3 linked regions of the Drosophila melanogaster genome follow. The protein of the gene in region 1 interacts with the protein of each later gene in a pairwise test. Each region holds a gene or a part of one and is shown in the gene's direction. Other genes may lie near its edges.

The links.
Region 2: the proteins of Fa2h (region 1) and lva interact in a two-hybrid assay, tested with the Drosophila melanogaster proteins (one large-scale study listed by BioGRID).
Region 3: the proteins of Fa2h (region 1) and Cp15 interact in a two-hybrid assay, tested with the Drosophila melanogaster proteins (one large-scale study listed by BioGRID).

Annotation. Positions count from the first base shown.
Region 1 is NT_033778.4:7,442,079-7,455,322, reverse strand, and holds Fa2h (fatty acid 2-hydroxylase), read left to right. Parts: upstream 1-3,769; 5' UTR 3,770-3,877; intron 3,878-5,327; exon of another isoform or gene 5,328-5,543; 5' UTR 5,544-5,554; coding exon 5,555-5,905; exon of another isoform or gene 5,906-6,156; coding exon of another isoform or gene 6,157-6,329; intron 6,330-6,381; coding exon of another isoform or gene 6,382-6,540; intron 6,541-6,703; coding exon of another isoform or gene 6,704-7,011; intron 7,012-7,067; coding exon of another isoform or gene 7,068-7,536; intron 7,537-7,611; coding exon of another isoform or gene 7,612-7,669; exon of another isoform or gene 7,670-7,850; intron 7,851-8,141; coding exon 8,142-8,369; intron 8,370-8,433; coding exon 8,434-8,922; 3' UTR 8,923-9,134; downstream 9,135-13,244. Other genes in the region: Inos (myo-inositol-1-phosphate synthase), read left to right, coding at 1-21, 92-250; CG11125 (uncharacterized protein), read right to left, coding at 6,157-6,329, 6,382-6,540, 6,704-7,011, 7,068-7,536, 7,612-7,669; kappaB-Ras, read left to right, coding at 9,628-9,741, 9,806-10,297; CG30503 (uncharacterized protein), read left to right, coding at 10,727-10,974, 11,038-11,311; sPLA2 (secretory phospholipase A2), read right to left, coding at 11,622-11,880, 11,948-12,249; CG11123 (uncharacterized protein), read right to left, coding at 12,489-13,244.
Region 2 is NC_004354.4:3,958,395-3,968,596, reverse strand, and holds the start of lva (lava lamp), read left to right. Parts: upstream 1-3,269; 5' UTR 3,270-3,842; coding exon 3,843-3,896; intron 3,897-3,958; coding exon 3,959-4,030; intron 4,031-4,099; coding exon 4,100-4,180; intron 4,181-4,244; coding exon 4,245-7,955; intron 7,956-8,012; coding exon 8,013-8,120; intron 8,121-8,186; coding exon 8,187-10,202. Other genes in the region: CG6428 (uncharacterized protein), read left to right, coding at 360-567, 965-1,200, 1,260-2,009, 2,076-2,777. UniProt on the Drosophila melanogaster protein: Lva and spectrin may form a Golgi-based scaffold that mediates interaction of Golgi bodies with microtubules and facilitates Golgi-derived membrane secretion required for the formation of furrows during cellularization.
Region 3 is NT_037436.4:8,724,177-8,732,601, forward strand, and holds Cp15 (chorion protein 15), read left to right. Parts: upstream 1-4,304; 5' UTR 4,305-4,350; coding exon 4,351-4,362; intron 4,363-4,433; coding exon 4,434-4,769; 3' UTR 4,770-4,890; downstream 4,891-8,425. Other genes in the region: CG6511 (uncharacterized protein), read left to right, coding at 16-265, 316-627, 691-884, 950-1,335; CG43965 (uncharacterized protein), read right to left, coding at 1,409-1,504, 1,567-1,587; Cp18 (chorion protein 18), read left to right, coding at 2,659-2,673, 2,848-3,351; Cp19 (chorion protein 19), read left to right, coding at 5,732-5,746, 5,836-6,342; Cp16 (chorion protein 16), read left to right, coding at 7,815-8,145, 8,280-8,365. UniProt on the Drosophila melanogaster protein: Chorion membrane (egg shell) protein; plays a role in protecting the egg from the environment.

The DNA of each region.
Region 1 (13,244 bases):
CACATGACCCTGGAGCAGCGGGTAAGTAGGGTCAAGTCAAAAGCAATCATTCGGATCCTTAATATCCTCGATTTCTTCTTTCTATTCACAGTTCGACTTTTCTACCATTACAAATGAGCCGCCTCTAAAGAGGGTCAAGATCCTGGGCCAGCCCTGCTCCGTGGAATCGGTCACCAATGGAAAGAAGCTCCATGCCAATGGACACTCCAATGGGTCCGCCAAGCTGGCCACTAACGGCAATGGTCACTGATGGATGGCCGCATCCCTGATTTTCGATCGGAATATATAATTGGAATATATATGGTTTTAGTTGGATAAACTACGAAATAGACTTAAGCTACTATTACTAACTGAATCGTTTAAATATAAAAAGGCGTAATAGACTGTTGTCTGTATACCACAAAACAAATATTTATTTCTTATGAGCACGATCATATCATATCATATCTTAGAGATCATGGAGTTTACTGGATATGGAACACATCTTCAAATGTTTGGGAAACAACAATGGAAGGAAGTTCCTGCATTGAAATACTTAATTAATATCCACGTTTAGCCTAAAATTTAGTTCTCGAAGATTATTCAAAAGTTCTTAGTATGAGTAAATTTTAGTTTAAGATGGGTAAATAATAACGACGTTTGTTTGGTACAAATAGTTTAGTTATTATCATATTAGAAGCTTTTTGTTCTCATATTCCAATTTCATTTTTTTGAAGGCATGAAAATAACATGAAATAGAAAAAAAAATGCCACCTTTTAGGCGAAAAACGCTATCTGTTGTGGTCTTGCTGCTAAAAATGTCAACCTTTTTTTCTGACAGTTGAATCGGTTTGATCCCGATGATTGTTGCTAAATATTAAAGTATAAAATATTATATGAGTGTTAAATTATGTCCGGTAAGACACTTTATTTTAATAAAGGTAATCGATCGTTGAGGACATAACCACTATCAAGTAACTAGATTAGTTATTGTATTGGGACTTCAAAGTTGATATTAAAACTAATTTAAATTAATGATTTAATTCAGTTAGATGATACCGAATGATACACACACGCTTTCTGTAATATGATTAATCGATTGTCAGAAGGAATAATTAAACCCGCTAAAAAATATGCAATGAAAATATGTTCTTCAGATTGTATCTTTACAATTGTTCCATACATTATGATAAGATTCTTTTGAGAATGGTGTGAGCCCACAATAAAGATTTTATTTACCCATCTGTTGCGATATCGAACTTTGATAGATTCTTATCTTGGATATAAGGCGTGTGTCGTATTGTAGCCACAGAATGTTACACACATCACCATCAGGAACTGAAATATTTACCTTATGAAACTCAATCGAATACTATTTTCATATTCGTTACTCATAGGGTAAAAGTATATATACTAGATTTGTTAAAGTACATTTATATAGTAAAGTATATATTCTTGATCAGGGTCAATATTGGAATCGATCTGGCCGTGTCCGTCCGTGTAGAGGTTGAGATCCAAGTTTGGCCAATTTCTATCGGTACAGCAAAAGAACTTTGGCCACGCACCTTCTAACCGCCCACACTTTTAAATTTTTTGTATATTTTTTTAAATTTTATTATTTGCCAATTTCTGGCGGGAACTAACCGAATCTGGATCTGGGCTATGGGATTTTTCCGTTCATATGAAAGTCTCGATCTTAGGCACTATAAAAGCTAGAAAGTTAAGGTTAAGCATGCAGATTCCACAGACATAGACGAAACTTATTTTCGATAACCCTGGTTGTTAAGCTTACCATAACGCCCAAAGCTGCCACGCCCACAGTTTTAAAGATAATGTTGAAATTTTTCATTTTGTATGAATTTGTATTTAAGTTTGTTGTTTTGATAATGTATTTTATAAGACTTGCAAGCATTGGGATTAAAATGGACATTTTTGAAAAGAAAATACGCTGAACATTTCTAATCAAACTAGTTCTAAGGCACAGACTAGTATGAGTATACTAGAAATGCCAAGAAAAAGGCCACAGACTGGACTCCCATGGCATAAATATGTCCCATCCTTCAAAAGCGCTGGGTGTTTTATCCTCTATTGCTTACCTATTCTATTATGGTGTCACACGTGATTAATATGGTTATGGGTGTTGTCACATTAGAGAGTAATTACTTCCTGCTCAAACTTATAAGCAAACTTATCGAGGTGACCCCGCACTCAAGCCAATCAATTCGATTCCCATTCGACCTGTATGATATTAGTGGCTTTGAAGGCGATTGATGCGATGACATGTGTATAATTAACTTCTTCGATATAGTCCCTTGCCATGGACAATAACTAAAATGGTGTCCGTGGGGATTGGCTTGGCCCTTAAACGTCAAGTTGTTGGCACAGACTTGCATTCCCCTTAGGGAAAAGTGGACACAACTCGCCAGCGAACTAGCAATATATTATATATCCCTATACGAATCTATTAGTCTACTTAAACCCAGTGCTATACTAACAAACATATACAAACTATAACTGGGTTACTCCGCGGTTTTCTAACCCATTGAGATGCCTTACAAATTCACCTTTGTGGCTTGAACCGAGCTATTGTGGCTTATCGAAACCTGTTAGTTAGGCTTCACTTTTGCTCACTCAATCGACTTCACTACAAAAAGACGATTAAGCATTACCAACCACACTATCACTGGCACTTAACTGGGATCTCGAAAAGATTTTTTTGGTTCGATTACTGGCAAATGAAATGTACTAAATTAATATTTTAACTATGCTATGTTACATATATCATGAGCATGAGAAACTCTTTAAATCTCAAAACCATTTTAAATAGGGTTTTGATTTGTATCAGTAATAAATGTTCTATAGAAAACGTAAGAAGTTATGTCTGTGAAAGGATGTTTTCATAACTAACATATTTATTAAGTATTAAGTATATAGATAATATATAAATAAGATATACATATGTAAGAACTAAAAATGCCACACTTTTACTATACTTAGGTTACAATGAATCCTAAAATGGATTGGAAATATACAAGGGTCATAATTTAAAAAATTAGATCTATGATATAAGGACTTTTTCGAACTTATAGGTCCTATTGCTGTAAACCTTTGCTTAAAGAACATTTTCGTGCCTCGGAATCTAAACATCATAAGTTACCAACGTGATTTTATATTAGCAGTAGAAAATTATTTCTTGACATGAGGGCAATGATACCATACATCAGGACTGATTCGAGAGTCAAGTGCCCAATAGGAGTACATACTCATGCGAAGAAGTACCTCCATATCGTGGTAAGCACCGAGGAAGCTCGCCGAGGACGATGTTCATGGGTGATTCATTTTCGATTGCCGAAATCAGAGTTCCGATTCGTGGTGACTCGTCTGGGAACAATTTGTATAGGAATCTTGATAAGGGCTCCAGCAATAGTTATCCGCAGCTCGTTAAACGCAATCGAGATCTACGTCAGGATTGTTAGAATATTGGAACACGCAGCGATAGCTACATTTACGGTGCCTTGCAAATTGGACGATAAGAGTTCGGATCGGTACAATCATTACCGGCAGTCCTCCCACTTCGTGGATCACTGTATCTGGAACTACAACTGGAACTTGTCCGGGTTTATCTTATCGTAGCCGATGCGTGGTCCGCTTCGTCAGGAGCACCGACGGCTAGTGGTTAGGGCTAGAGGTGCCGGTAACTAGCAGCGGCTAGAGCCCACAAGATAGCACTGAGCAGCGACGTCGGCGTCGACGCCACGGATGTGGATGTGTTGGGTGGGTGGGCCATAGTTCAGTCGTGAGTTGCGTTGCGTTGCGTGCGGTCAGAGGCTCTGCCGACAGTTGGGAACCCGGTCTGGAGTCAAGAGCCCAGTGTTTTGATCAGAGCAGTGCGAATTCGGTAAATAAATAATCCCGTGGTAGCCGAGGGTCTGAAATTATGCAAATTGCCTGGGTGCAAGTAGCACTAAGTGTGGCAAGCAGCTTAGCCCATAGTTTAGGACGATAGCCCAACTATGTATCTTCGATACTTTGTCATCGCCCGCGATAAGATATCATCCGACCCAGCCCGGTATCCGATCCACAGGTTTTCGGGGCACTGCTAACCCGGATAGATAAAGCTTTGCTTGCCACTATCACTCCCCGAACAAACGCCATTAGCCGCGTGTAAACACGAGTGTTGGGCTTCGTTTGATGGCTCCGCCAATGGACAGACCAGACCATAGGTGCTAGAGGTCGGGCAGACAGTGCCCAGCCTATCCCGCATATGTGTCTATGTGTCAGATAGACACTATTAATCAATGTGACGCAGCCCCAGCCCGGGGTTGAGTCAGAGCACCTGCTCCACCCTCAATCCTAACGTGGCACCCCGTTTGGGGACTTACCACTTGCCACTTTGACAAACGAGCCGTCTACTCCCTCTCATCCAAACCAAATCCCCGCGCTTACAGGCTTTCCTATCAGCATTGATAAGGCAAACTATTGACGGAGCAAGTTCGTCCGTGGAATGGCGACGCTCAGTGCGGCGCGTAGGCAAAAGGCAAAGTGCCCGCGCCGTTAAGAATGGAAATGTTTGTGCGGATCCCATATGGGCACGCATCATCGGAAAGAAACATCTGGCGCACTTCGGGAATGCCAAGTTCAATTGAGCCCCTGACGGCCACTGGGTGAAATGCCTCCAGTGCATTTCCAACATTGCTCTGTAGGTTGCAATTACGACCTGCAATTGATTCGCCCTAATCGCTGTAATTACATCTATTACCGAATCAATTAAACAAATGTTCTGCAAGTGTGGTGTTTCGAAAATCTTTCCCACACCCAACTAGGGAATCCTATAAGTTCAACGCCAGAATAGAAGGTATCAATCCAAAATTTCTTCAACTAAAAGGAAGTCAAAATAATATATCCTTAGGGTCACTAGAAATCGGATAGAAGTTAATTGATAAGCAAAACTTTGACTTTAATGGATACCTTGGAATGCAGATAATAGGTGCAGATACTTTTTCTATACTTATATTTTGGTTTCAATAGATTACGCTATCGTAGGTTTGGCTGTGAAATTTTTTTATGAATCATGAAAATGGCAAATACTATACAGTGCGCATATCAAATATGTAGGAAATGCTGCATCCCTTCAAAAACTATTAATAAAAACAGGATTATTTATAATACATTGTCGTTTTATTTGTGTAAATACCATAAGCATCAAGGTCAAAATTATGAATTCGTAACCAATTATCTCAGCAGATAGATAGCTGTTGTTTTTTTTTAATTAAACAATATGTTCTTAAGGAGATTTACTTAAAATATATTTGTGTGAAATATTTCATTTAGCTGCGCCAATGAGGGTTATTTAATTCAGTTTTTTGGGGATGATACATTTGATCTGTGTACAAAATAACTCTAAGAGGAGGTGAATTATATATTTAATTGAGCGTGTCCGATACAATATGGCATCATGTTGCTGCTGGGCACGCAAAGTAATTAATTCCAAAGATAATCAGTGGCAGAGTATCATGCTCGCAAAGGAACAGCAAAGTCTTATCCGATTGTTTTTCGCACTGCAGTTGCCAAATTGATGCCCATCGACATGGATATACCAAAGGAAGCGGAGTCGAACGACAAGTTCATAGTAAAGTATCGCCAGCAGTATTACGATTTGTCCAGGTTTATGCACAAGCATCCGGGAGGCATAAACACACTCAAAGGTCTCAACAGCGGGGACATGACAGCTCGCTTCCTAAAGGCGCCGCCACATTCGGATGCGGCCATGTACTTGATGAGGGAGTACAAAATCGATCCAGAGGACTCTCGGAAACCAAAGTCGAGCCAAAGGGAAACGTTGCATCACGATGAAGATGGGACTTTGCGACAACGGCCCAGGGAAACGGAGGACAAGAACAATAACCAGGTGGACGATAGTATGGAGGTAAGTTGGATGAGCGGTTTTTAATCTGTAACTCTAGTTGCTGGTCGACTGGATCGCACGTTAAGTTGGTCACAATGCTATCGGGGCGGGGTAGGTCTGCGATCCAAATCTCAGCTAAAAAATATATTATTAACGTAAGGCATGGTTGAAAGGAACACGCGTGTTTTGCAAATCCAAGATTCCAGTAGCTCGCTCGGTCAGTCAGTCGATGGAATGCTTTAATGTTTTTGGGAGCTATGTAGCATGAGTTCTCACAACTGTCGCGACTTGCTGGCCAGCACGAAGACCTTTGCCTTGGAGTATATGCGGATGTCCTCCTCCACGGTGGTCAGCTCCTTGTCGATCTCCGCCTTGCGGTTGCGCACCCTCAACGTCTGTGCAGTCATGGGCATGTGGTTCAGTTCATTAACCAGCTGTTCGTAGCCTGTTAAGATTCGTTAGCAAGGGTCAAACTTATAGTAGTAACATTAACTCACGTTTCTTAGCATTAGTGAGGTGCGTCAGTCGGTCCTGATCGCTGAGCAACACATGGCCACGCGGACAGTCGGGATCCAGCGATTCCGCAAGCTGCTTGGCCACCGCCTTCTCGCGCTTCTGCTTTTCCAGGTAACGCGGCAAGCGCACCTCATCTCGGGCTGTCAAAAAGTACAAATTCATGACTAGTTCAAATCAAATCAGGAGGGAATATAAGATATTTAAAATAGAGAATAATTATAGATTATATATGAAATAATTATCAAAGATATTTAATTTTGTCATTACTGTCGCTGACAATTGGTAAACAAGGGATAAACTCACATCCTAGTTTATGCTCACGACGCTTTGACTTAGAGCTTATGGTGGTGACATTGGAGGCCGTTGTGAAACGACTACGGGCACTGAGTGGAGCCTCGTCGTCTGAGGCGCCGTAGTTTGCAGGTTCGGCCTCGGTCATGGGCATAGCCTCCATTTCGGACATGTTGAAGCGACTCTGCTTCGAGGAGTTCGAACGCGCCGAAAGCGGCAACTGTTCCAAATCTTCCTCGTTTTCATATTGCATGGGTTTGTAGTTTTCCCCGTATTTTGCACCGGATTCCTCCAGTATAGATCTGGCATCAAAGTTACATCTGCGGATAAGATAAACCTTTGTGAAAACCTTCGAGTTTGGTGCAAAAAGTCATACTTCTTCAGAGCATTTGTTAGATAGAGTTCGTCGGTAATGTCCTCAGTTTGGATGGCTATGCTGGTGGAGCTCCGATTCGTGCCACACGATTGACAGCGATCAATGTCTGTATCCGACGAAGGCTCTTGGAGATTCTCGGATTCTAAGTTCTCCGACGGGTCATATAAGATGGGATTGCGCTCCTCCAGGCCATCGAAGCGTTCCCCCTCCGCCGGAACGGCCACGGCCAGTTGGTGCTGTGAGCGAGAGGTGCTGCGGCCATTTTGCAACGAGTTCTGTTTTATAGTTTTGCCCTTAGCTGCTGGTTTCTCCGCCTTCGAGTCTCCCATCACGGAGGAAGAGCGTCGCAGCGGGGGCATCCATTTCGGGCGCGTCGGCTCCTTAGCGGCCAACTTCTGGCTGGTGGACTTTTCCAGCGAGCGCAGGCTCACCTTGTTTTCCTTGAGGAAGTTTCGGGACTGTGTGACGCCTGTGGGAACGGAGACCAAAACAAATTACCAACTGGTTGCCATGGCCAAGCGGCTGTTTGGAAAAGAAATCTTACGCGGCACCGAAAAGATGCCCTTTAACGTTGGAATCGGGCGAACTGAAGTATTCGACATGTTCCACCTACTCCCGAACTATAACTAGACGGCTGGGGCTCCAGAAATGTGATCTCGACTACGACAAGTGGAAACTGCGTCGTTGTGTGAAGTAAGGCACAGGTTCAAATGACAATTTTGAACCAGCTGCTTGTGATTGTACCTGCTCATCGATGCCCGATAACATTATATATCGGTTCGGTGCTGACCCGCGGCTGGCCACATTCGAGCCAACTAACGGTTTATGGGATGTCCTAGTGTTTAAGTAAATATTAAATAAAAAAGCAAGTAGAAATCAAGTGAAATTCTTACTATTCTGTAATTATAGTAAAGTTAAAATAAAATAAATAAAAAAATATAAAATAAAATAAAAACTCTGCACAGCTTCTAATTTTAAATATTTAATTTTCAAAGGTAATTAACCAAACCAATTTATGGTAATACATACTGTATTAATTTATTGACTAACCTATTGTAAATTCATGAATTCCAGCACCTAGTGGACTGGTCTAAGGCAATGCTTCCGCAGATAGCTAACATAACGGATTGCTACGATGAGTGGGTTCACAAGCCGGTGGACAGGCCACTGCGTCTCTTTGACCCTTGGTACTTGGAGATGTGCACCAAGACGCCCTGGTGGCTGGTGCCCCTGTTCTGGATACCAGTGATCGTGAAATGCGCCGTGGAGGAGTTCACCACCGCCTGGCAGGATAGCAACCAGGTGAGTAGTCGCGCAATCTTCGCATTCTTGGATACGATCTTCTAAAAGTATCTTCTTTCTGCAGCTGGCTGTGTTCTCCGGTTACTTTTTATTTGGCGTGCTCCTGTGGTCTTTCCTGGAGTACACACTGCACCGCTGGGTGTTCCACGTGAAGCTGAGCAACAAGAGCGGAAGTTGGCTATGCACCTTCCACTTCATGATCCATGGCCTGCACCACAAGGTGCCCTTCGATCCGATGCGACTGGTGTTTCCGCCCCTTCCCGGCGCAGTGCTCGCCGCGGTCATCTACACCCCGCTCAGCTTTGTCCTGTCCCATCCGCGAGTGATCTTGTCTGGAGCTCTGGCCGGCTATCTGTGCTACGATATGATGCACTACTACCTGCACTATGGGAACCCTTCGCTATGGGCCTTTGTACACATGAAGCGCTATCATCACCACCACCACTTCTCGCACCAAACTCTCGGTTACGGCATCAGCAGTCCCTTGTGGGATGTCGTCTTCAAAACGAGAATCCATCTCCGCAAGCTGAGATACCAACTGCGCTGGTCCTAGCTGCAATAAATGGCTAATACAGTGCTACTATAGAACAAATTACATTCAGTTTTCAACGCAACAGAGTTGCTGCCGCAGCAAATAGTTCAATCAAATCGGAAATTTGGTTTTTAGCCTATTTGTGTAGGCTGAATACTGAGCATTAGGCTTAAGAATTATTTGTAAGACTTTTACCAATTTCTATTAAACAGGAATACACTTCCAATGATACCAAAGAACAAATGGAAAATCCTTTTTGAAAACAGAAAACTGGGCAATCAAAGGAACTATTGGAACTATTTTGGAACTATTTTGGGGAAAAACAAAAAATTTTCGGCAATTTTATGATGCGTCACCAAAGTTTACATTAGAAGTTTGGTACCTTACCTATATATGAGAGGGAATACTTTGATTAACTTTTAATTCCTTTGGTAAATGCCTTATCATCACTCTGGAGCGTTTAAATATTTTTGTTTAAAATCGAATAAATAAAGAAGCAGACAGACGGTTTGTATGAACACTTTCATTTACCTATTTCATACAAATCTGGTACAATCAGTTCAAGTTTGTTTAATAATTAATATTATATTATTAAAATTAGCTTAAGATAATTGTTTAAGACCTGTCTTAAGTGGAATTTCTCATTGGCGTTGCTTGGTCACACTACCAAGAATCCAGCGAAAGTTTTGTTTATTTTTTTGGGTCCCAATTTCTCCTGCTGGAATAATGCTAAATGCCAAGATCGGGAAGGTCGGCAAGGTACTGGTGTGCGGGATGAAGGGCGTGGGCAAGACGGCGCTGATAGAGCAGCTGGTCTACGGCCACGTCAATCCCGAAACGGTGAGAATGCCTTTGGCAGAGCTCAAAGTAAAGCTGATGTCTCATATCCCGGAGTTCATTGCAGGAACTGCATCCAACCATTGAGGATATCTACGTGGCCAGCGTGGATACAGGCAGGGGCGGAGCCCGAGAGACCCTGCGCATCTACGACACGGCCGGATTGCAGGGCGAGCAGCAGCAGCTGCCACGCCACTACCTTCAGTTTCCAGATGCATTCGTTCTGGTCTACGATCCCATGGATCCGCGCAGCCTTGACATGCTGGCCGACATCAAGGCTGACATTGAGAAGCACAAGGAGAAGAAGGAGATTCCCGTTGTGGTGCTGGCCAACGTGAGGGCACGAGCAGCCCCAAATCCCGTCGAGAAGGTCATGGACCGCGCCAACATCTGGTGCCAGCGAGAGCGCATAAAGCACTACACGGTGAACGCCATGGAGCGTCCCTCCCTCTACGAGCCATTCACCACGCTCTGCGCCCGGCTGCACCCAATGCAGACGAAGAGCACGTTCCCTCAGCTGCGCCAAGTTATGCAGAACCGGCAGAAGAGCGAGGCTTAGCTGTTTTGAACGGACGAAAGGGAAGAGATATAATTTAAGTTTTATTCGGGAGTGTCCCAATAATCTCCGATACTTAACAGTAGCTATGAATGCCACAGATTTGGCTTTAAGTTCAAGAGATCCTTGGGATCTCCCCAATCGTACTCGTATTGATCCATTTAGAGTCTACTTGCCTTGTATTAACTGTTGTGCTTTAATGTGGGCCAGAGCCCAAGCCACTTGTACTTATGTCTCTTTGTGTGTGTCCAATTGTATCTACTATTTATTACACCGACATGTCTTCTCTCATTCCGCGAGAATTAAGCGTAATCAGTATTCACTGCTCAATCGCAGCTCAAATGGCGCGTAGTGATTAAATAACCATGCCGAAATTCTGCTCTACGGCAATCCCCTTGGATCAGTCGTCTGCAAGCCCCTTCCTCGAGCGCAATGCTTTCGCGTGCCGCTTTTCTTACTGTTCTCCTAACGCTGATCTATGCCAGCCATGCGGCTGCGGGATTGAGCATTACAGTTCCGGGCACAAAGTGGTGTGGACCCGGGAACATAGCAGCCAACTACGATGACCTGGGCACTGAGCGCGAAGTGGACACGTGCTGCCGGGCGCACGACAACTGTGAGGAGAAGATTCCGCCGCTGGAGGAAGCCTTTGGCCTGAGAAACGACGGGTTTTTCCCCATGTAAGCGTGGATTCCATAGCACCCATGCTGATCTTGGGATCAATAATCGTGCGCTCCCCGCAGATTCTCGTGTGCCTGCGAGTCGGCCTTCCGGAACTGCCTCACCGCTCTGCGAAACGGACACTCCCTGGCTCTTGGCAAAATCTACTTCAACACCAAGGAGGTGTGCTTTGGCTACGGGCATCCCATCGTTTCCTGCCAGGAGAAGCAGGCCGACCTGTTCGAGACACGATGTCTCAGCTACCGAGTGGACGAAGGTCAGCCGCAGCGCTGGCAGTTCTACGACTTGGCCCTCTACACACACGTAAGCGGCAGCGAGGAGGACTCCCGAGATTGAACTTCGACGTCCGGCGATAAGCCCTCAATTGTTTACAAAACAGATTGTGCGGGGAGCGAAACCTAATGTGATTAGGATTTTGACGGTAGGTTATTTGTGTAATAAATTTTCGAAGCTTAAGGCTAAGTAGCCTGGAATTATATTAAAAACTGAATTCGGAGGCTCAATTAAAGTTCAAAATGATCAAGAAAATATTCGGAGTATTTTATATTTCATCCAGATTAAAGTGGGATTACCTTATAAGTAATAATTAATGTGATGTGCGCATCAGGTAATGTAATCATCTTGTCTACAAATCGTTGATATCATGTCAGCCCGCCGACGCTGGGATTGTGAAGAACGGCATGTCGTAGAACTGCCAGACCTTGGCCTTGGACTTGTCCACCTGGTAGCGGATACAGCGCTTGCGGAAGGTGCCCTCCTGGTACTGCTTGCATCCGGTGGTGGGATGTCCGTTGGCAAAGCACCTGCTCCTGCTGCCATAGTAGATACGACCCAGAGTTTTGGCCGTGATGCTGTTCACTGCCTGCAGGCAATTGATAAACTGCTGCTCGCAGGTGCACTTGAGGCTAAATTGAAAAGTGTCTGTCAATGTGCACAAAATCGATAAGGGACTTTAGGAGGTTTACCGCTTACATGGGAAACCAGTCTGTGTTGGTGGGCAGTCCGTGGAGTGCTCCGTGGGACTCGATAATCTCGTCGCAATGGTCGTGGGCACGACAGCACTTGTCCGTCTCCCGTTCGCGGCCCAAATCCTCGAAGTTCGCCGCCGTGTTGCCCGGTCCGCACCACTTGGTTCCGGGCACCGTGATGCCCGTATGGGGAACTGGTGGCAGTGCCTGGTTGTAGATGTCCTCGTCCTCAAAGATAGCCTCGTCGCCGAAGGCCCAAGCCATGGCCAGTAGCCCAAAAAAGAACGCTTCGCGCAGCAGCCACATGTCTCAGCTTCGGCAGTCGCAGCACAACTAAGTTTGATTTCGTTGACTTGAGCTGCCTTTGCTCGAGCTGATAAGGCGGCAAACAACAAATGAAGCAAGCAAGATGTACTTTAGTAACTCCAAAATTAATTCTTGAGGTCTAATAAACAGCGGATACTCCTAGTTAAGAATAATTCGCATTTCCAACTGACCTCTAACAATAGTTTAGATAAGGTTTATTAGTTTAAACAATCTATATACTAGCTAAGTATGTCCTTAAAAGCTTCGACAGCTGTCTTGGCCGTTTTCCGCTTCGTCTCCTTTGTCTGCTCGGCGTCCAGATGCTTGGACAAACTTTCCTGCCATTGCGTAGGTGAAAGCTTGTACGTGTCCAGGCGGTATTTTGTGTAGATGATCCGACCGTGTGGTGAGCCCTTCAGCATATTGGCCTTGGAAAACAGTTCCTTGGCCATGCGCAGTTTCTGCGCATCTTGGGCGGCCTTAAAGCACTGTTCGAAGACGCGGGAACCATGTCGAGTGATGGCCAAGTCTACGTAGAAGCCATCCAACTGGCGGATCAGACGCTCGCGGGACTTCTCGCCGATGAACTTGCTCTGCATGAAGGCGTCAACGATGTGTGAGCCATTGGGTGTGTTGAAGACCTGAGCCAGTTGGGTGGCGGGCAGATCGAGGATACAGTTGACCAGAAAGATTGGCTTGTTGAACTGCAGCAGGTGTTGAGTAATAAGCGAACCGTGCAGATGAACAAAGGCCGACTCGTCGCCGGTCACCACCTCAAAGGGCTTTAACTTAATCAAACATGTAAGGAAAAGCTTCGATTTCTCCTTGTCGCCACTGACATGGAGGGCACTCTGCAAAGCGGCTATCATCTGAGACTGCTTGGTGGCCAGTCGCAAGCAGGCGGCACTGAGGGCGGACACGACGCCGGTGTATCCCATTTTCAGCAGCTCCTCCACATGCGGCTGGAGTTCGGTGAAAACGGACTCGAAATCAGG
Region 2 (10,202 bases), on another chromosome or scaffold:
TCATTTGAATTTCATTAGATTAGTCATGTACGTCGTGGGCCAAAGTCTGGTGCGGTTATCTATATATAAGTGATTGCGCCGCCGTGATTTGGGCTTTTCGTTTCAATTTCCTCTGCGATAGAGTCCCAATACCACGTGCTATCTCGGCGTCCCCCCGCGAATTATTATTTCACTACTTCGGATCCGATCCGGATTAGCACGATAACGAGTTGGCCAAATAATCATCAACGGCACGGGCTGTTAATGGATTTGCTGTTTACGCGTCGGAACGACACCATCTGAGCAGCCAGTGATAAGGCACACAGCTTCGCAACCGGCGCTCCGCAGTCCATCATCCTCTATACTCTTTACTCTATATTATGGATATTCCCGTCCTGAAGACCAATGGTCACGAGAGGCTGGCCTCGCTGGACAAAAGCATGCCGCCGGCATCGCCCACTCTGCCGAGTCCCACGATCCGCAGGAATAAAAGTGATGGAAAACTCATGGCCCAGGATGTCAAAGAGGCCCGGGTGAAGGTCATCTACACTGGCGGCACCATCGGCATGGTGCGCAACGAGCGGAATGGTAAGCAGCCCAGAATGTCACGAATACGAGGATTCATTGGGATTGCCCGAATCTGTCCATGTAGATAAGATCCCACTTTTACTAACAAGGGGAGTCTTAGAAAATGGCCAGATATGATAAGAGCAATGCACTTGAAAACATTTTATTCGAATAATATGTATGAAAGTTGAAATTGTTGGTATGAATGTAAACAAAACAAATCAATTGGCAGTCAACAGATTGTTGATGCTTCTATTTAAATATTGACTATTTGCTTGCTATTTATTGAGTGGTCTAATTAGGTATTTTAGTAAACATTTGACACACGAAGCGTGACCATAAATCATCATCTTGATTAGGAAACTAATTTGTCACGGAGTTTGTGACTATCAATATTAATATTCTATAATTATCGCAGTGTTAGCTCCCATTCCCAATGCCCTGGTGCGCAGCATCCGCAAATATCCAAACATCCACGATGAGGAGTACGCGCTGCGCCGCTTTGGAGCATCTGCATCGATGGCTCCACTGGTGCTGCCCATTGTGCAGGGCGTAGATCGCCGGGTTATCTACCAGATCTCGGAATATACACCGCTGCTGGACAGCAGCAATATGACGATGAACGATTGGGCGCGAATCGCCAGCGATATTCAGGTACATACATATATATATATATGAAAGGTAATATTAATCCTTTCCAAATTATTGTCTAGCAATCGTACGAGTTCTTCGATGGCTTTGTGGTGCTCCATGGCACCGACACGCTTTCCTACACCGCATCTGCATTGTCTTTCATGTTGGAAAATTTGGGCAAGACGGTGATCATCACGGGCTCCCAAATACCCATCTTTGAGACGCGAACCGATGGCAAGGACAATTTTACGTCAGCCTTGATCATAGCCGGTAACTACATCATTCCGGAGGTTTGCATCTTCTTTGGCCATAAGTTGATGCGCGGCAATCGGACGGTGAAGGTCAGTTCGAATGCCTTAGACGCGTTCGACTCACCGAATGTTCCACCACTGGCCAGGATCGGCATTGATGTGAACGTCGACTACCGCCTGATATTCCGGCCATGCACTATTGAAAGGTTTTGCGTACACTTGAATCTCGACGAGAACGTCGGCTTGCTGCGAATCTTTCCGAGCATTTCGCACTCCACATTCCGGGCTTTCCTGGCGCCACCGATTCGCGGCGTTGTCCTGCAATCCTTCGGATCTGGAAACATACCATCGAACCGAAAAGATCTCATCGATGAACTGCGTGCGGCTGGTGAACGAGGCGTTATCATCATCAATTGTACACAGTGTCCCAATGGCACAGTGGCGGAGATCTACGATACGGGCAAGGTGCTCTGCGATGTCGGTGTAATTCCCGGTTTCGATATGACGCCCGAGGCGGCGCTGGCCAAGCTGGCCTATGTCATCGGCAAGGAGGAGTGGTCACTCGATATGAAGAAGCAGGTAAGTTTCGACTATAATTCAATACATACATAAATATGGATAATCCACAATGTGTGCATTTCATAGATGATGCAGTCAAGCCTGAGGGGCGAACTGACCTCCTTAAAGGCTCCCAAAATGGAGGACTACGACTTGGTGGACGCAGTGGCACGGTCTCTGCACTTGTCCTCGCCCCAAGAACTGGATCAGCTGGGCGAAACGCTCTTTCCGGCCATGATCAACGCCGCTGTGGCCGAAGGTGATCCCAAGAAGATCAACAACTTGAAAGCCTATGGCGCCGACTTGTCGGGCACAAATCATGACCAGCGAACGGCCCTACACTTGGCTTGTCAGCTGGGAAACGTGGAGATCGTTAAGTACCTACTGCAGAACGGGGTGTCCGTGCACGTGCGTGATCGGTATGACCGCACTCCACTTCTGGAGGCTGTCGCCACCGATAGCCACGAGATCATCCAGTTGCTCATCAACTGTGGTGCTCATTTGACGGGCTCTTCGCGAGCGGTGGGCGAGCAATTGTGCGCGGCCGCTGCTAGGGGATCGATGATCAGATTGAAGTCCTATCAATACGCCGGTGCCGATCTTGCCCAGTCGGATCCTTCGGGCAGGACGGCCTTGCACGTGGCAGCACTGCACGGATTTCCGGAGGTGGTGCAATACGTCCTGCCCTATTTCGAGAATCCGAACGAGAAGGACATGCTCGGCCTGACCGCCATGGATTATGCGGAGCGCGGCGGACACGCAGCGGTTATGGAGGTCCTAAAATCATAGAAATCTCTTCCGAACCATACATACCTCGTTCCTTGTTCCTGCAGCATGAAGAAAAAAACAAACACTGGAGGCTAGGGTTATTTCTTTTGTACTTAAGTGTTGCATCTAGTCTAATGGTTCCTTATTATCAGTTTTGCATAACTCGCATATTAACGATGTTGTCGTGGTAGTTTTTATTATTAAGTGTCGAATCCCTGACCTGTTTTTAAGTAGTCCTTATTTACTAATGTATCCATTGTATGCAATAATATTATTAGCCAAAACCAAAAATTAACCAATCATGTCTAAAATTAAGCATCAGACATATTAAACGGTTGTATAACAAGTTATATACACAAACTAGTATAATTTGTTGTATGAAAATAAATAAAATCAATTTGAAATTAATGCAAAATTTTTGAATTAGTTTGTAATCGATTGATTGATTACGAGCGCAAGTGCTATCGAGCCATCTGTCATTCGATAACTTACCAGGGCTTTGTGACCCTATTCAGTTGTTGCGCAGCCCTGGTATCGAATTGTTTTTACGCTGGCATTAATTAGAATTGGTAAATATACATCTGTCAGCGTGCACATAAGAAAGCTCTTACGTTGCAATCTAGTGCTTAGTGGCTTGTAACTCAGAAACCAGGCGAAAATCGACACAAGCGCTGGAAAAACAGCAAACAAAACACACACACAGCCCCACTCGCACACACACAGCCGCACACACACGCACACATCTATAGAGAGGTGCACACGTCAGTGCCACGAATTCCATAAAATAAAAAGAACAACAAGAAACGCAAATTCAAAGCTAAAGACAATTCTAGCCGATCGGAAGCGGATGATATATGTTAGCTATATGGTAAACCCTCTCTCGTTGCAGTCAATGTCGATAGCTAGCGCTGCGCAGCCACCGTGGATATATAATCGGTCCTTCAGATAGCCAGTCCGCATATATATTCCCGATTCCCCCGATTTGTGTTTTTGTTTGTTTTTGGTTTTTTTTTTTTTTTTGTTATTGCTGCTGCATTTGGTCCGGTACGCTAGGATAGTTAGTAATATTTTGTAATTGAAACGACAATGGCGGAAGATTCGGGTGCTTTGGAGAGCTCCTACGACTTCTCCATCGTTCAGGTGGGTTTCACTTGGTGTTCCCTGTACGTACATGCGTCCATACTGATCATGACCACTTGCAGCCCGACGATCACGAATATGGCGAGGCGGATATACGCTTAGCGGGCAGCTCCAACGATCTGTCCTCGTTACAGGTGGGTAAATCTGAACAAATCCCCCAAGTGAAGCAGGATTCAATATTATCTGTTGAATCTACCCTACAGAATGTATCCGCCAGCACAACGAGAGGCACCAAAGGCAAGGGCCGTTTGGATAGCCTTAAAGAGAATCTGTACAAGCAGCAGGTGAGTTAGGCGCTGTGAATCAAGTGGTTCATATCATTAAATGACTCGAAATGATTGCTTTCAGGAGCGCCTCACTGCCTTAAAAGAACGCGCCTTAAGGAAATCCCAGGATGAGCGACACAAGTCCAGCATGAGTGACTCCATGGAGTCGCTTAAGACACTGGGTCAGAAGCTCACCGTGTTGAAGACGCGCTCCGGCGACTCCTCCACTCCACTGGTCTCACCCACAAAGGACAGCGACCCCGGTGATGTCTCTTTACTCCAAACCAGTGGCAGCGAGAAGCTTCTGATGCTCACACAGCGCACGGAACAAAATCGTGCTTTGTTGGAGCAGCGCAAGAGGGATCTGGCCAAGTCTCTTCTTTCTGTAAAGTCGAATATTGGCCACCAAACGACCGCCGAGCTGGGCTCTTCCATGACGGACCTACGACACGCGGCGTCTGTCTCCAATCCACCCGTATCCCGCCATCGTTCTGCCTTGGACTTGGAGGCCCAGGGTCAGGAGGCGGTGGACGAAAGCCGGGTGAAGTTGCTCAGGAGTCGTATGAAGTTGACGGAACTCAAGCAGGGCCGGCAGGAACAGGAGCTAAATGAATTGCGTACAGAACTGGCCAAGCGCGCTAAACTCATCGAGCGATTGGAACTATCCGGTGCGGAATTACAGCGCACGCTCACCCAGCGAAACGAGGAGTTAGAGCAATTGCGTGTGGTCCAGGCAGAAGAGGATAGCCTGAAGGTGCAGGAAAACTCTCGCCTCCAGGGCGAAGTTTTAGTCTTAAGAGAACGACTAGCAGAGCTGGAAAACGTCAACGACCTGTTAGAAACGACGCGCTGTGAACTTCAGGAAGAGCTGACCACGGCGCGCGAAAGACAGCGTAATCTGGAGTTGGAACAAGAGCAGGAAAAGGCTTCCCGCAGTCCGCAATCGGAAGCAGCGCATACCGATGCACAGGTGAGCGCGGAGCTAGCCAAACAGCTCCAGGAGCTTACCAACCAGCTGGCTGATCTACAGGCAACTAATGAGGAGTTGCGTCAGCAAGTTGCTGCCCAGGCGAAGCTCCAGGTGACCGATGAGATTGTTTCCCAGCGCCTTGAGGAACTGGAAGCCACCATAGCGGCGCAGCTTCTAGAGCTGCAGGAACAGAAGTCGGCAATGGCTGCCCAAAACGAAGAACTCGCAGAAAAGACAACGGAACTCAATGTGCTCAATGTGAATCTGCGTCTCCTTGAGGAGAAACTCGCGCAAAGCAGTCGCAGTAAGCCCCTATTTCTGGAGGACCATTCGGAGGACAGTGCCGCCAGCAAGCAGATGCAGGAGGATCTGCAGCAGCTGAAGCTAAAGCTGGACGAAACTAACAAGGCCAACATAAAGCTAAAGCTGAAATGCAAGCAGGCGGAAAAGAAGCTGCAGAAATTCCAATCCCAAGATGGCCAACAGCAGTTGGCTTCACTGTTGGCTGATAACGAGGAACTGCAGCAAAGGATCGCCGTCCTCGAGGACGAGAAGGGTCAATGGCAGTTGGCCAACATGCAAGAGGACGACCGCCAGCCAGAGCAATCGACGGAGTCCAATAATCCACTGCAGCTGGAAACAATTCGTTTGCTGGAAGAGCAGAAATTGGAATTGCAACAGGCCCTAGAGGCCTTACTCAGTTCATCCAGTTCTGCGGAATCCATTGAAATAGTGGAGCGTCATCACTTAGAGTGCCTAGGCCAACGACGTCCGGCCAGCGAGGGCGACGCCCAGGAGCAGAAGCAAGTGCATCCACCAGGGCCAAGTCACGTCAGCGAGCTCACTCAGACGGAGCAAACTGAGGAGGAGGATTCCTCTGGCGAAACTCTTTCCCAGCTTAGAGAACGTCTCGAACTTTTCACCCAGGAGCGCGGAGAGGTATTGGACAAGCTGGAGCAACTGTCGGCCGAGAATTTGCAACTCCAGGCAAGATTGGAGGAAAGTTCAAGTTCTCTTCAGCTGTTGCAGCGTGAACGTGAGAAGGATCTGATCTCCTCCACGTCCACTTCATCCAATCTCTCGCAGGAACTCAGTTCAATGCAACGCTCCTCCGAAGTTGTCGCAACACTGGACGCCGGCGAAGGAGGCCCCGTGCTCTTTGAGAAATGCGAGAAATCCCTGAGCAAACTCAACTCTGAATTGGAGGCCTATCGCAAGGCCAACGATAGGCAGGCCAAGTTCAATGTGTCCAAGAAACTGGCCAAGGAGGCCAAGAACTGTCACACCCAATTGAGTGAGCTTCTCCACAAGGTTAAGGAAGCGAGCACGGCGGTAGAAACTGTTACCGTTGTGGAGACCGTGGTGGCCGTGACCGCTCCCAACGGAAAAGCTCTTGCGGAATATGAGCAGCTAAACGCACAGAACGCGGAACTCAAGGCGGTGATCTCCCGATTGCGCCAGGAATTGGATGAATTGCGGGAAAGCTATCCTGAAACCGAAGCGCCATTGGCCATAGTTGGTTCCGATTCTCAAAGGGAAGATGAAATCCTGCAATTGCAGTCCCAGCTGGAGGACGCACGCTCCTTGCAGGCCGAGCAACGCCAGCAGATCGAGGAGCAGGTAGATCAAATCAAGGAGCTGCGTCAAACCGAAGCAGAACAGCTGCAATTGGTGGCCAGGCAGAGTGCCGAGATCACACAACTCCAGCTGCAATCAGAGCAATTCGATCAGCTGCTCAACTCCAAGGAAATGAGCCATGAGAAGCAACTGGAGCAGCAAACAAGGATTCGTCGAGAGTTAGAGGCCCGAGCCGAATCTCTGGAGGGCGAGCTGAGTATCCTACAGACTCTAGTTGCCGAGCAGAAGCAGCAACTCATTGAGAGTGTCAGCGAAAGCGAGCACGCGCTTAACCTTAAGATGCTGGAATTGCAATCAGCACAAGAGGAGCTGCGCGAATTGAGAGCCAAAGAGGATCCGGATCAGCTCCGAGAGGCTCTGCGCGTTAGCAAAAGTTTAGTTGCCCAGCAGGTCAGAGAGTTGACCTCCAGCCAGGAGACTGTCGATGCCCTGAACCAGCAAATCCAGGAGTATCAAGGATTAGAACATGCCCACAAAGAGGAGCAGTTCAAGAACCGCGAACTGCGCGAGAAACTCAAGAAGTATGCCCTTAACCTCAAGAAACGCACACAGGACAATGCCGATCTCGAGCAGAAGGTCCAGGAACTTACTAGTCAACTTCAAGAACAGCAGGAGCTTGTCAAGCAGAAAGAAGAGGTGGAACGTGAACCCATCGTGGACAACCATCGGGTTGAACAACTGCAGCAACAGGTCAGCAAGCTTAACGAAGACCTTAAGGCCAAGATCCATCTCAACCTGGAAAATCGCGATGCCCTGCGTCAGTTAAAGCAGCAAATACAAGAGCAGGAGCAACTTATCCAAGAACGTGATGCGGAGCTCCAAGATGCCAATCTGGTAAGCAAGGAGTTGCGACGCGAGCGCCAAGAAGCCGATCAGGAAGTCTTTCAACTGGGCCAGGAAAACTCCAGACTCAGGGAAGAAATCTCTAAGCTTCAGGAGGAAATCCATAATCTTGGACAGAGGGTAAACGAAGAGCCCACTGCTGTCGAGGATTTGCGGCGTCAATTAGAGGCCAAATCGAAGAAATTCGAAAAGTCCAAGGAGTTGATAAAGCTTCGCAATGCCACGATTCAATCGCTGCAGCGTGAGTTACAGCAACTGCAGCAGGATCAAGACAGCGAGGTGGAACATGTGCGGAACGCGCGGGCCGCTCACGAGCAACTGCGTTTAGAAAAGGATGCGGAGGTGAGTAATCGATTTTTAGGCATATTTGATGTCGAAGATAATAATCAACCACAACAGATTACTGCCCTCCGACAAGAGATTCTTAAGCTGGAAAGGAGCAGGGCAGCCGGTGAAGGCGATGATACCATTACCAAAACTTCACATCAACTATTGGAATCACAATCGGTGAGATTGAACTTTGAACTTGAACCTCATTTACCTTCTAATGCAACAAATAAAAAAAATTTTTAGCAACAACAAGCGGAATCCCTCCAAGTGGCAGAGAGAGAACTTCAACAGCTTCGTGTCCAGCTTACGGCGGCCCAGGAGCAACACGCTCTGTTGGCGCAACAGTACGCCAGCGATAAGGCAAACTTTGAGATGACCATCGCCCGTCTGGAGACACTTCACGAAGGGATTCAAGCCAAGCTACAGGAGGATGCCTCGTACATTGAGTCGCTGGAGGCTCAGAATACGGAACTGCAGGCCAGAAGCGCTGCTCTTGAGGAACAGGCCGCCAGTCAGGCTAACCAACAAGCGGCGTCCCAAGATAAAGTGCAAATACTGGAGCAACAGTTGAAGGAACAGCGCGAGCAGGAAGAGCAGAAGCGCCAACAGGATCAGCAGCTACAGGAGCGTTTCTATGAGCTTGGACAACGGGAGCAAGCTCAAAGTCGCCAACTTGAGTTGCTCACCAGCGAAGCTGAAGAGAGCAGGCAGCAACTGGCTGGCCTGCGAACGGAGTACGAGTCTCTGCTGGCCAAACACTCGCAACTAACAGCCACCGCCCAGGCAGAAAGGGAACAGATGAGCAGCCACAGCCAGGAGGAGCTGGCCGAACTCCGACAGCAACTGGACGTCAAGGAGGCGGATCTGCACCGTCAGCGGCAGGTTTACGATGCCAAACTGGCAGCCAAGGCCACGGAGCTCGATGAACTCGAATGCGACCTCAATAGCCATGTGGAGCGAGCTGCAGCCGAAACGCGAGAGCTTTGCCAGCAATTGGAGCGGTCCCAAGAGCTGGTGGCCCAACGAACTGAGGAACTACAGCGACTCAACGAAGAGTTCCAGGAGGTGGAACGCGAGAGATCCACTTTGAGTAGGGAAGTGACACTGCTTCGTTTGCAGCATGACAGTGCTGAGCAAGATGTTTTGGAGCTACAGGAACTTCGCATGCAGGCCATGCAGGACAAGACCGAAATGGACAACCTGCGCACTCAGATAGATGCTCTATGCGCCAATCACAGCCAGGAGCTGCAGGCGCTGCAGCAGCGAATCGCTGAGTTGGACACTCTGGGTCAGAATCAAACTGATGATCAGGTCTACATCGAAACGGAGAACAAGCGTTTGGCGGAGCAGCTAAGCGAACTGCAGGCACAACTGGCCAGGCAGCAGCACCAGCAGCAGCAGCAACAGCATCATCATCCTGCTGTACAATCTCAGCAGCATCCTCCACCGGCTTCACTGTTCTTTGGTGGCGATGCTTTGGCCGCCCCCTCGCCCTTCGATGAGATAGCCCAACCACTGAGGGTTTCTTCCCTAGCGGCAAGTGCACCGCCACCTATTTCTCCACCACCTACAATCGAGGATCTTCAGCGAAACGTTTCTGATCTGGAGAAGCATGCACAGGACTTGGAAACGAAGCTGCTGGCGCGAAATCAGAACTTGGCCGAGCAGGAAGAGCGACGTTTGCAGTTGGAGCAGCGTCTTTCGGAAGTAGAGCGCCTGCTAAGCGAACGGACACAGCAGCTGGCCGACATTCAAACGGCAAATGAGGAACGTGATCGCTTGGCGGCACTGGAGAAGCTTATCCAACCGGCGGCAGCGCCTACATTGGACATGTTCTTCGGCGGTCAGGCAGAGGAAACAGTGCCCGATGCTGTTAGTCACCATTTGGATTTGGGTCTGCCCCAAACGGAGCCAGTGGTGGAACCACTGATCCAGCCCAAAAAGGCATATTTGTGCCAGCCAAAGCAGGAAATTCAGGAGCAGACTGCTCAAACCATTGATTGGGGCGTTGACGAGGATCCCTGGGCCAGTGCTGCCAACGAAGCGCCGCAAACCGATGTGGAGCACCTGCACACGAGAATCGCTCAATTAGAGCTGCAGTTGTCCAATGCCGAGCAGCAAAAGACCGAACTACAGACTAAAGCCGCCAAGCTTATGAAGCGTCTGAAGGAATACAAAACGAAGGCAACAACGACCGCCACGCCCACTGTGACAGTGGATAATGATCTGGATTCAACCATTATTGAGGAGCTGAAGCAT
Region 3 (8,425 bases), on another chromosome or scaffold:
AATTATAAATTGCAGAGGAATACAGTGAGTTAATGAAGAAGAAGGAGTCCACAAAAGACGCTGGAAATGACCAAACGGAGGATAGCCCAACGGCAGATCCTTCCGAGCCGTTGTATGTGAAACTGACAGTTAATTCTTATGATTGCCTACGTCGAGGAATAGAAGCCTTCACTGCCGTGAAAGATAATGTCAATTTGGCGTTTCTATATTGCAATATTGGTAGATTTATGCGCCTGCGCGCCCATCTTATCATGCCCAATGAGAGGTAAATAGTGTTTTAATAATCATGATTCGTTTTAACTCCTTTTCATTTAGTGCCATAACCTTAGAAAGCCAAAAAGCCTTCTACAACGAGGCATTCAGCTATTACGTGAAGGCCAAAGATTGTCTGGATACTCGTAAAGCAAACCCCGAACTATGGGACCTCGTCCATTGGGAATTATCCACTGCCACTTTTACGTTAGCTAAACAACTTCAGGACCACAGCGCAGCAGACAAATCCAGCCTAGTTGACGCCTCCAAAGAAGTGCTGGAATTGCTTCAGAAATCGTTGCGACTTTGTGATGTCGAACACCCTGGTGCACGACAAGTGCTATACAGTTTTCGATCGGGCTTAATACACAAAAGGTAGGACGGAGGACTATGAGTTGCAATTAGCAAATGCATAAAAACAATTATTGACTTTTCCAGGATTGCTTCCTTCCACTACTCGCAGCTGCGTTCTCATGGCTGTTGTGATTTCTCTCAGCTGCCCAAATCTACTCTACAGCTCTGTAAATACCACTACGAGAAGGCCACTCAAATTCTAGAGAGCCTTAAGGAGGTGGGAGACCTGTTGGTGGTGCAGCTAGAGCGGATTTCCCTTCATGAATTTCTGGCCGAACGTGAGTATACCAGATGGTAAAGGCCACTAAGAGTTAGAAAATAAATTAATTCAATTTTCCGGCAGTTTCCACTCACACCGCACAGAAGATCAAGCAAATGCAAGCGGCTTTGGAAATTTGTTTACAGTGTCACCTCATATTTGCCCACGTCATCGATACTAACAGTGGCCAAGTGGCCGATGACGAGTTCGCCGGCCATTTGACGCTCTTTGAAAGCCGCCTGCAGAATGCGCTGAAGACGCTTACGAAGCTCACGCTGGCCGGCAAGGATCCCAAGCAGTTGTCAAAGCTGTACAAGCGCATGTATATGGAAACCTTGACTGGGAAACATGGCCTAGGGGCCCAGCAATCGTCGACAGCTTGCTTAAAGCATTTGCACATGCTGCTCGCCCGGCTACGGGCCATGTGCGAAACACAGCTGGCCCCGCGACCAGCCGTACGTGTCTTCTGATAGGTTTTGCCCCAGAACCCACAACAGTTCGAATTGTATGCATTGCTTGACGCTTGTTTATTGATGTATCATCTCAGCCCCGCCGCCCGCAGCCGCATTCATCGCTCTCCAAATGATCTGCTCCGATCTGCAAAGCAGCCAGTACAAGCAGCACAGCCAACTGTAGGATCTGCAGATTGAAATTACCATTAATGTGTCCATGCCGATGAAACCATAATCATCTCATCTCACCTTGCAACGCAGACTACTCATTTTGTAAGCGTTTGGAGACAGTTTTCTGATCTTGTCATCGGCAGCTCGGCTCTTATAAAGTCTGAGGGCCCTGGCCCAAACGTGTCGTTTATCTAGATTAGCCTCCGCTAAATATCTTGTTCAACAAGCTGGCTATATCGGACTTGTGATGGATGTTCAGATCCGTCAATCTTGGCTTGAGGTTTCAGCCGACTTACATTTGCATTGTATTGCGAATAATGTTACTATTTAATATTTATCGTGTCGTCGTTGGCGCTAGTTCCAGTTTCCAGTCTTATAATATTTTTACTTAATTCCTAAGAGCAAAGCAACTAGCTTAAATCCCAATAAAGCAATCTTGAAGAGAAAATGCATACGGAGAAAGATCGTTTTCACTCGTCTTCTGGCTACTGGATGCTGGTACCCTGAGCCTGGCCAACATCTAAATAATTTATTATTCATTATTAAATGTTTGCGCCCGCCCATAAGCCATTCACAATTTGTGTAGCGCCAATTGAATGTTATAAAAAGCTTAGTGCGGCAGTTTGGAAAGTGGAACGGTTGTGTTTATAATTTTATTGTAATTTTATCTCAATTTTTTTTGCTTTTGTATATAAATTCTACCAACGCAGCAGAATTTTCAGGCCACTGCCTTGACTTCACTGTGTCACTGAAAAATCGGTGTCAAGCTCTCGGCACCGTGGGGCAAAGCAACTGCAATACTGATCGAAACTATGCGGATCCGGAGCACGAAGAGTCATGCGGTCGGAATCTTACGTAATGGGTCTCGTCTCTGGTAGACGATGGCGTAAGCACAGACGCCTGCTATCTGGACCGGCCCGAATTGAGAGCCAGCATTTTGGCCAGTGCGGATTCGGCCTGGCTGCACGTCTCCGGCGGCGTCTCAAGATTGCTGGACAAAGAGGCGAGGCCTGGAACTGCGTCTGCGGGAACCCGGAGAGCCGAAACTTGCATCATATTCGTCACGTAAGAGTTGGGCCTCTGCCTGGATCTGGTATAAAAACAAAACATTGCGCCAGAATAAGACATTAGTTACCTTCGCATCGATCAACTAACCAACTCAGCCTCAGAATGATGAAGTTCATGGTAAGCCTTAAGTTCCAATATTGTTTCTATTGACACCTCAACTGAGTCCAGTATGATCCTTTCAATAAAATATAACTACATATTATAATAATTGGATAATATGATTGGATCTTTCTTTTCTAATACACTTCAGTCTAAACCCAAATTAATTGAATTTTTTCTTGAATCCCTTAGTGCATCTGCCTCTGCGCCATCTCTGCCGTTTCGGCCAACTCCTACGGACGTTCCCGTGGTGGATACGGTGGTGCCCCAGTCGGTGGCTATGCCTACCAGGTGCAGCCTGCCCTGACCGTTAAGGCGATCGTTCCCTCATACGGTGGTGGATACGGCGGAAACCATGGAGGATATGGCGGTGCCTACGAGTCGGTGCCTGTGCCCGTGTCCTCTGCCTACAGCGGTGCCAATGTGGGATCTCAGTACTCCGGTTCCGGCTACGGCGGTGCCCCACCAGTTGATGCCCAGGCCATTGCCCTCGCCAAGCTCGCCCTGGCCGCTCCCAGCGCTGGAGCTCCTCTGGTCTGGAAGGAGGCTCCCCGCTACGCCCAGCCCGTCTATCCCCCCACCAGCTACGTGAACCAGGAGTACGGACACAGCGAGAAGGTGAAGGGAGGCTCCGCAGCCGCTGCTGCCAGCTCCGTGGCCGCCGGAAAGAAGGGCTACAAGAGGCCCAGCTACTAAGTGGCAAAACGTTGAACAGTGAACCAAAAACTTACCTGCCCATAAGGAACTAGGTCATAATAATAAAAGCCAAAACATCAAGACTTAAAATTTTGAGTACTGTATTCTTGCTGGGTTTTTAGTTTCGGGCCGAGAATTGAGATCTGCATATCTTAGCTGAATTGGCATAGACTTGCGGTTCATTGCAATGCCAAGCGATACTTTGAGCCAGCAAAAATTTCGTGGTTTCGTAGTTAAATGAAAATGCTGCTTAAAGTGCTAAAGAATAATTCTCATGGCGAATGAAGCTGAAAAGCTAAAACTAAATTCATTTGTGGGGCCACTTTAAAACTATAGTTCGTCAAATAAGCCTTGACTTTTTTAAGTTACCATAAGTAAAGAACCTATTAGATAAAATGAGATTAGATAGAATATAGTTTTGCTTGAAATTATGTTTTTGTAAAATTTCAAAATGATTGAAATACTTTAAAATGTTTTAGTTATAATTTTAAGTTTTGTATGTGACTAGTGGTCACTTTAAAGGGATGATTCTATATAGGTTTTATCAGAAAAACCGGCTGGAACCAGTTCTAGAAGAATCCTCACTTAGACAAGCCAAGTTCCGGACACAACCGACCTGGAAACCATTACCCCCGAGAATGTGGATAATATAAAGTTCAATTCAACAAATTTTGGACTGTATTCGAAAATAAACGCGTTCGTGGTTCCCATTTGGAAGAGTCGCGTGTTCGTAGTGCTATCACTACCCAACACCCGGTAGAATAGCACATCGCGTAACCAAGCGATTTTATAATGGCTTGACAACAAGTACATAAATCAAATGTGAGTATATTCCAGCCGGGCAATTATGAAATGCCATTTCTGGGCTGAAACAGAACAATTAGTGTATATAGGTCACGTAAATGTCCAGGCTAAAATTTGCGTATAAAAGCGAGCGTTTCTGGTCGGTAAATCATAGTTTGATTGATTACCCCAAACCAACAAAACTAAGCACTCACCATGAAGTACCTGGTAAGTTGTGGTAGTCCCCGTGAAGGAGTGGCAGCCAACTGATCCTCCGGATTTCCCCTTTTCACCTTCAGATTGTCTGCGTTACCCTGGCCCTTTTCGCCTACATCAACGCCAGCCCAGCGTACGGCAACCGTGGAGGTTATGGTGGTGGCTACGGTGGTGGCTACGGTCCTGTTCAGCGCGTCGTCTACGAGGAGGTGCCCGCCTACGGACCATCCCGTGGCTACAACAGCTATCCCCGCAGCCTGCGATCGGAGGGTAATGGAGGAAGTGCCGCTGCCGCTGCCGCCGCTTCCGCCGCTGCCGTGAATCCCGGAACCTACAAGCAGTACGCCATTCCCTCCTACGAGTTGGATGGCGCTCGCGGCTACGAGATCGGACACGGCTACGGCCAACGTGCTTACTAATTCTCGCTTCATCGGCAGTGAATTGAACTATCGACTCCTTGCTAAAATCCTCGAGTGGCTGTCATGGCGAAACTCTGAGAATCAGTGAATAAAAGCAGCTTGAACGCAATGGAAAATACCGAAAAGAAATACGTATTGTGTGTTTTGCATTGTGACATACTTTTCAGCGCATTCGGGTTAAGATTTAGCGGTGGGTCATTATTATTATTCCACACACAAGATGGGTTTCAAAGTGGGGCAGCTAGAATATTCACTGCGGCAGATTGTACAATACTATATAGAAGTACTATTGCACTTTAAGCTACAAAGTCGACAGGTTAAGCTTCAGTGACTCAAGAATTTAGTCACCTATGAAACCCTTAGTTTCACTAATAGATTCTTAGACGAACATCTTAAATTGTATAATCAAACAAAGGGCTATATATATTACAATAACATATTTGCCAATGTGCATAAAGGCATAGACTCTGAAGTTATGTTTTATCGTTAAAATTTGGTTTGTTCTGTTTACTTGAAGGTATAGATAATATTATAAAATCCATATCCAATAACCATTGGTCAGTCGTTGGCCCGTTATCCCATTAACCCGCTTGCGTTCCCGCACGCACCCAAATGCAACCATTGATTTTGGGCCTCAGTTGGGAGCATCTGCATCTGCCACCCCCAACGAAGGTCAACCGGCGAATGGAGGCGATACGATACGCTGCGGTGAGCAACCTGCTCGAGCCGAAACGAGCTCAACGTGGAGCCCCGATATCTGGCTAGGAAAAGCTAGAAATCCACAGAAAGTTCCCCAACAAACTGGCCGAGAAGAGACGACGAAGCCAGCTCTTGAGCCGTGATAAATTTCTGGGCGAGATCACGTTTCGAGTGCAACAATAAATTTGCTTATATAAAGAAGTGTGCTTGGCCATTTAATATGTTAATTCAGCCAACTGTGCCAAAACCCATACATCATAGCCATGAACAAGTTCGCTGTAAGTGTCCCTGAGAACCGCTTCCGTATTCCCTGCCGCTCTTTCATTTTCCGGACTTATGCTAACTGAAAGTTTTCCTGATTTTCCAGACTCTGGCAGTCATCTTCTGCGCCTGCATCGTGGGCAGCTGCTACGCCAACTACGGTGGCCAGCAGAGCTACGGACAGCGATCTTACGGTCAGGATAGCTCCGCCGCCTCCGCCGCCAGCTCAGCAGCTGCTGCTGGAGCCGAGGGTCAGCAGCGTTATGAGCGCCCCGTGGAGATCATCGCCGGCGGTTACCGCGGCAGCTATGCCCCCGAGATCCTGCGTCCCATCCAGGTCAGCGGTGGATATGGCGGTGAGCGACGTGGCTACAACGGTGGCAACTACCGTCGTGCCGGCTACGGACCCCGTTGGACTGTCCAGCCCGCCGGTGCCACCCTCCTGTACCCCGGCCAGAACAACTACAAGGCTTACGTCTCGCCCCCGGAGTACAGCAAGGTGATCCTGCCCATCCGCCCTGCTGCTCCAGTGGCCAAGCTTTTCGTCCCAGAGAACCAGTATGGCAACCAGTACGTTAGCCAGTACTCTGCACCCCGCAGCAGCGGCTACTAAGCGCATACTTGATTATCCCCAGCCAACCTGGCGGATACTTGATCTCAGCCTGATCGTGTACATAATAAACAACAAGAAAAAATCATAATCATATTTGGAATATATATTTTTCGGGGCTTTTAGGTATTTTTTTGTATATCTATGAGAAAACAAATTTTCGGGTCTTTCGAGCTCAAATGCAGCTGCAGCAGCTGTTCAGAGCGGGTGGAGCATTGTTCATTTGATTGCAGTCGCCACCGGGAATGTCTTTGAGTGGCTCGGCGGAAACGTGCTCCGGATTTGCTTGCTCCGGTTCGCTCGCAAATCACTCAGCAAGCCATAAACAGTCAATTATTTATTGTGTCAGTCAGTCAATAATCTTGAGGCCAGAAAGCGCCACAGTTCGCCGTGTTTGCCGATTGCCGCGCTCATTTTCATATTTTCTGTATTCTGGCTGGTAAGCAATCGCATCTGCTGACTTGTTTGGGGCCAAACTCTTGGCCAAGAGCTTCAATGTTGCTGGCCATCGCTTGACATTCGAGTCGAGCGGTGAATCACGGCAAGAATTCTGGCATCGAGTGCGGCACAATTCTTGGGAAAACTTGTCGTTGAAATTAAAACCATGTGTGTAGAGGTTTTGTCTGTTTGAATAATTTTAATTTTTCGTAAAAGTGAATTTATGTTTTGTGTTAAGCCGAAATATAAATAAAGTTTAATATTATTACTAACTAACCGTACGACGTTTTTCAGTAAAACAGCTTAAAATTTGGTATTTAGCAACATTGTAATATTACATTAAAATAAATATAAGAATGAAATTCTAATAAAAAGGCATAACTTAAATGCCAATCTATTTGAAACATAACTTAGAATATTGACGTAATAATCCACTTTGTTGCTATGCACATTTTTGTCCATTTTTAAATAAATTCATAGAACTGAGTTTACGATCCACAAACTTTTCAAAAACATTGTTCAGCTTTAAAACTAGAGTTTGCCCGACGTCCAAAGACTTTCGTACGTCGCTGGTTCCGGTTAGTGTTCATTGATCGGTGGCTTAACCCCAGTTGGCCCGATTTCCGATGCGTGCATGGGCCGGATCGCCGTGGAGTACGGCCAAAGCCCCGATACCGCACACACCAGAAGCGAACAGAGCGTGCCGAGCAGGGGGAAGTCGCTATCAATGGAGCAGCTTCTCGGGGTTCCCGGGGTTGTGGCAGTGCCGCAATTTGGCGCGCAATTTCAATGAGCATAGAAATTGGAGACGATCCCGTGGCCTTATCGCCCTGGGCCGGAGGGGACGGAGGGGGCTGGAGATGCTGCCAGTGGCGGCCCCCCGAAAGTGACTGGTCATCGAGGTGGTTTGGTCACGTCTGGTGAGCTCACAAATCGCGGAGCAGCTCAAATGGTGTTGCTATAAAAGCAATTTGGACACACGCTCTGGTTAATTAGTTTTCGAAACAGTCCGTTCCTCGCACCACCACCAAAAAAAAATGTCCGCCACCCTACGTCTTCTCTGCCTGATGGCCTGCTGCGTCGCCCTGGCTGTGGCCAATCGCCCCAACTACGGCGGATCCGGATACGGAGCCAGCTACGGCGATGTGGTTAAGGCCGCTGAGACCGCCGAGGCTCAGGCTTCTGCCCTGACCAACGCTGCCGGAGCAGCTGCCTCCGCCGCCAAGCTGGACGGTGCTGACTGGAATTCCCTCAACCGTTATGGATGGGAGCAGGGTCGCCCACTTTTGGCCAAGCCCTACGGCCCTCTGGACCCGCTATACGCTGCTGCTCTGCCACCACGCTCCTTCGTGGCTGAGGTCGATCCAGGTGGGTTCCTAAACTAAGCTACAACATGGAGTTCTTAACTGGATAATATTGTTTATCCTATGATTTTGGATTGACTTCATAGCACCGCTTTGCCACCCAGACTTACCTTCTTTTGTATCTTCTCTACCTTTCAGTCTTCAAGAAGAGCCAATACGGCGGATCTTACGGCGAGAATGCGTACCTGAAGACCGACGCCAAACTGGGTGTTGTGGCCATCTAAGAGCTTGGATTGTATAGCTCCAAAAGTGTTAATAAATAGTGATAGCTTAAAGCAATATAA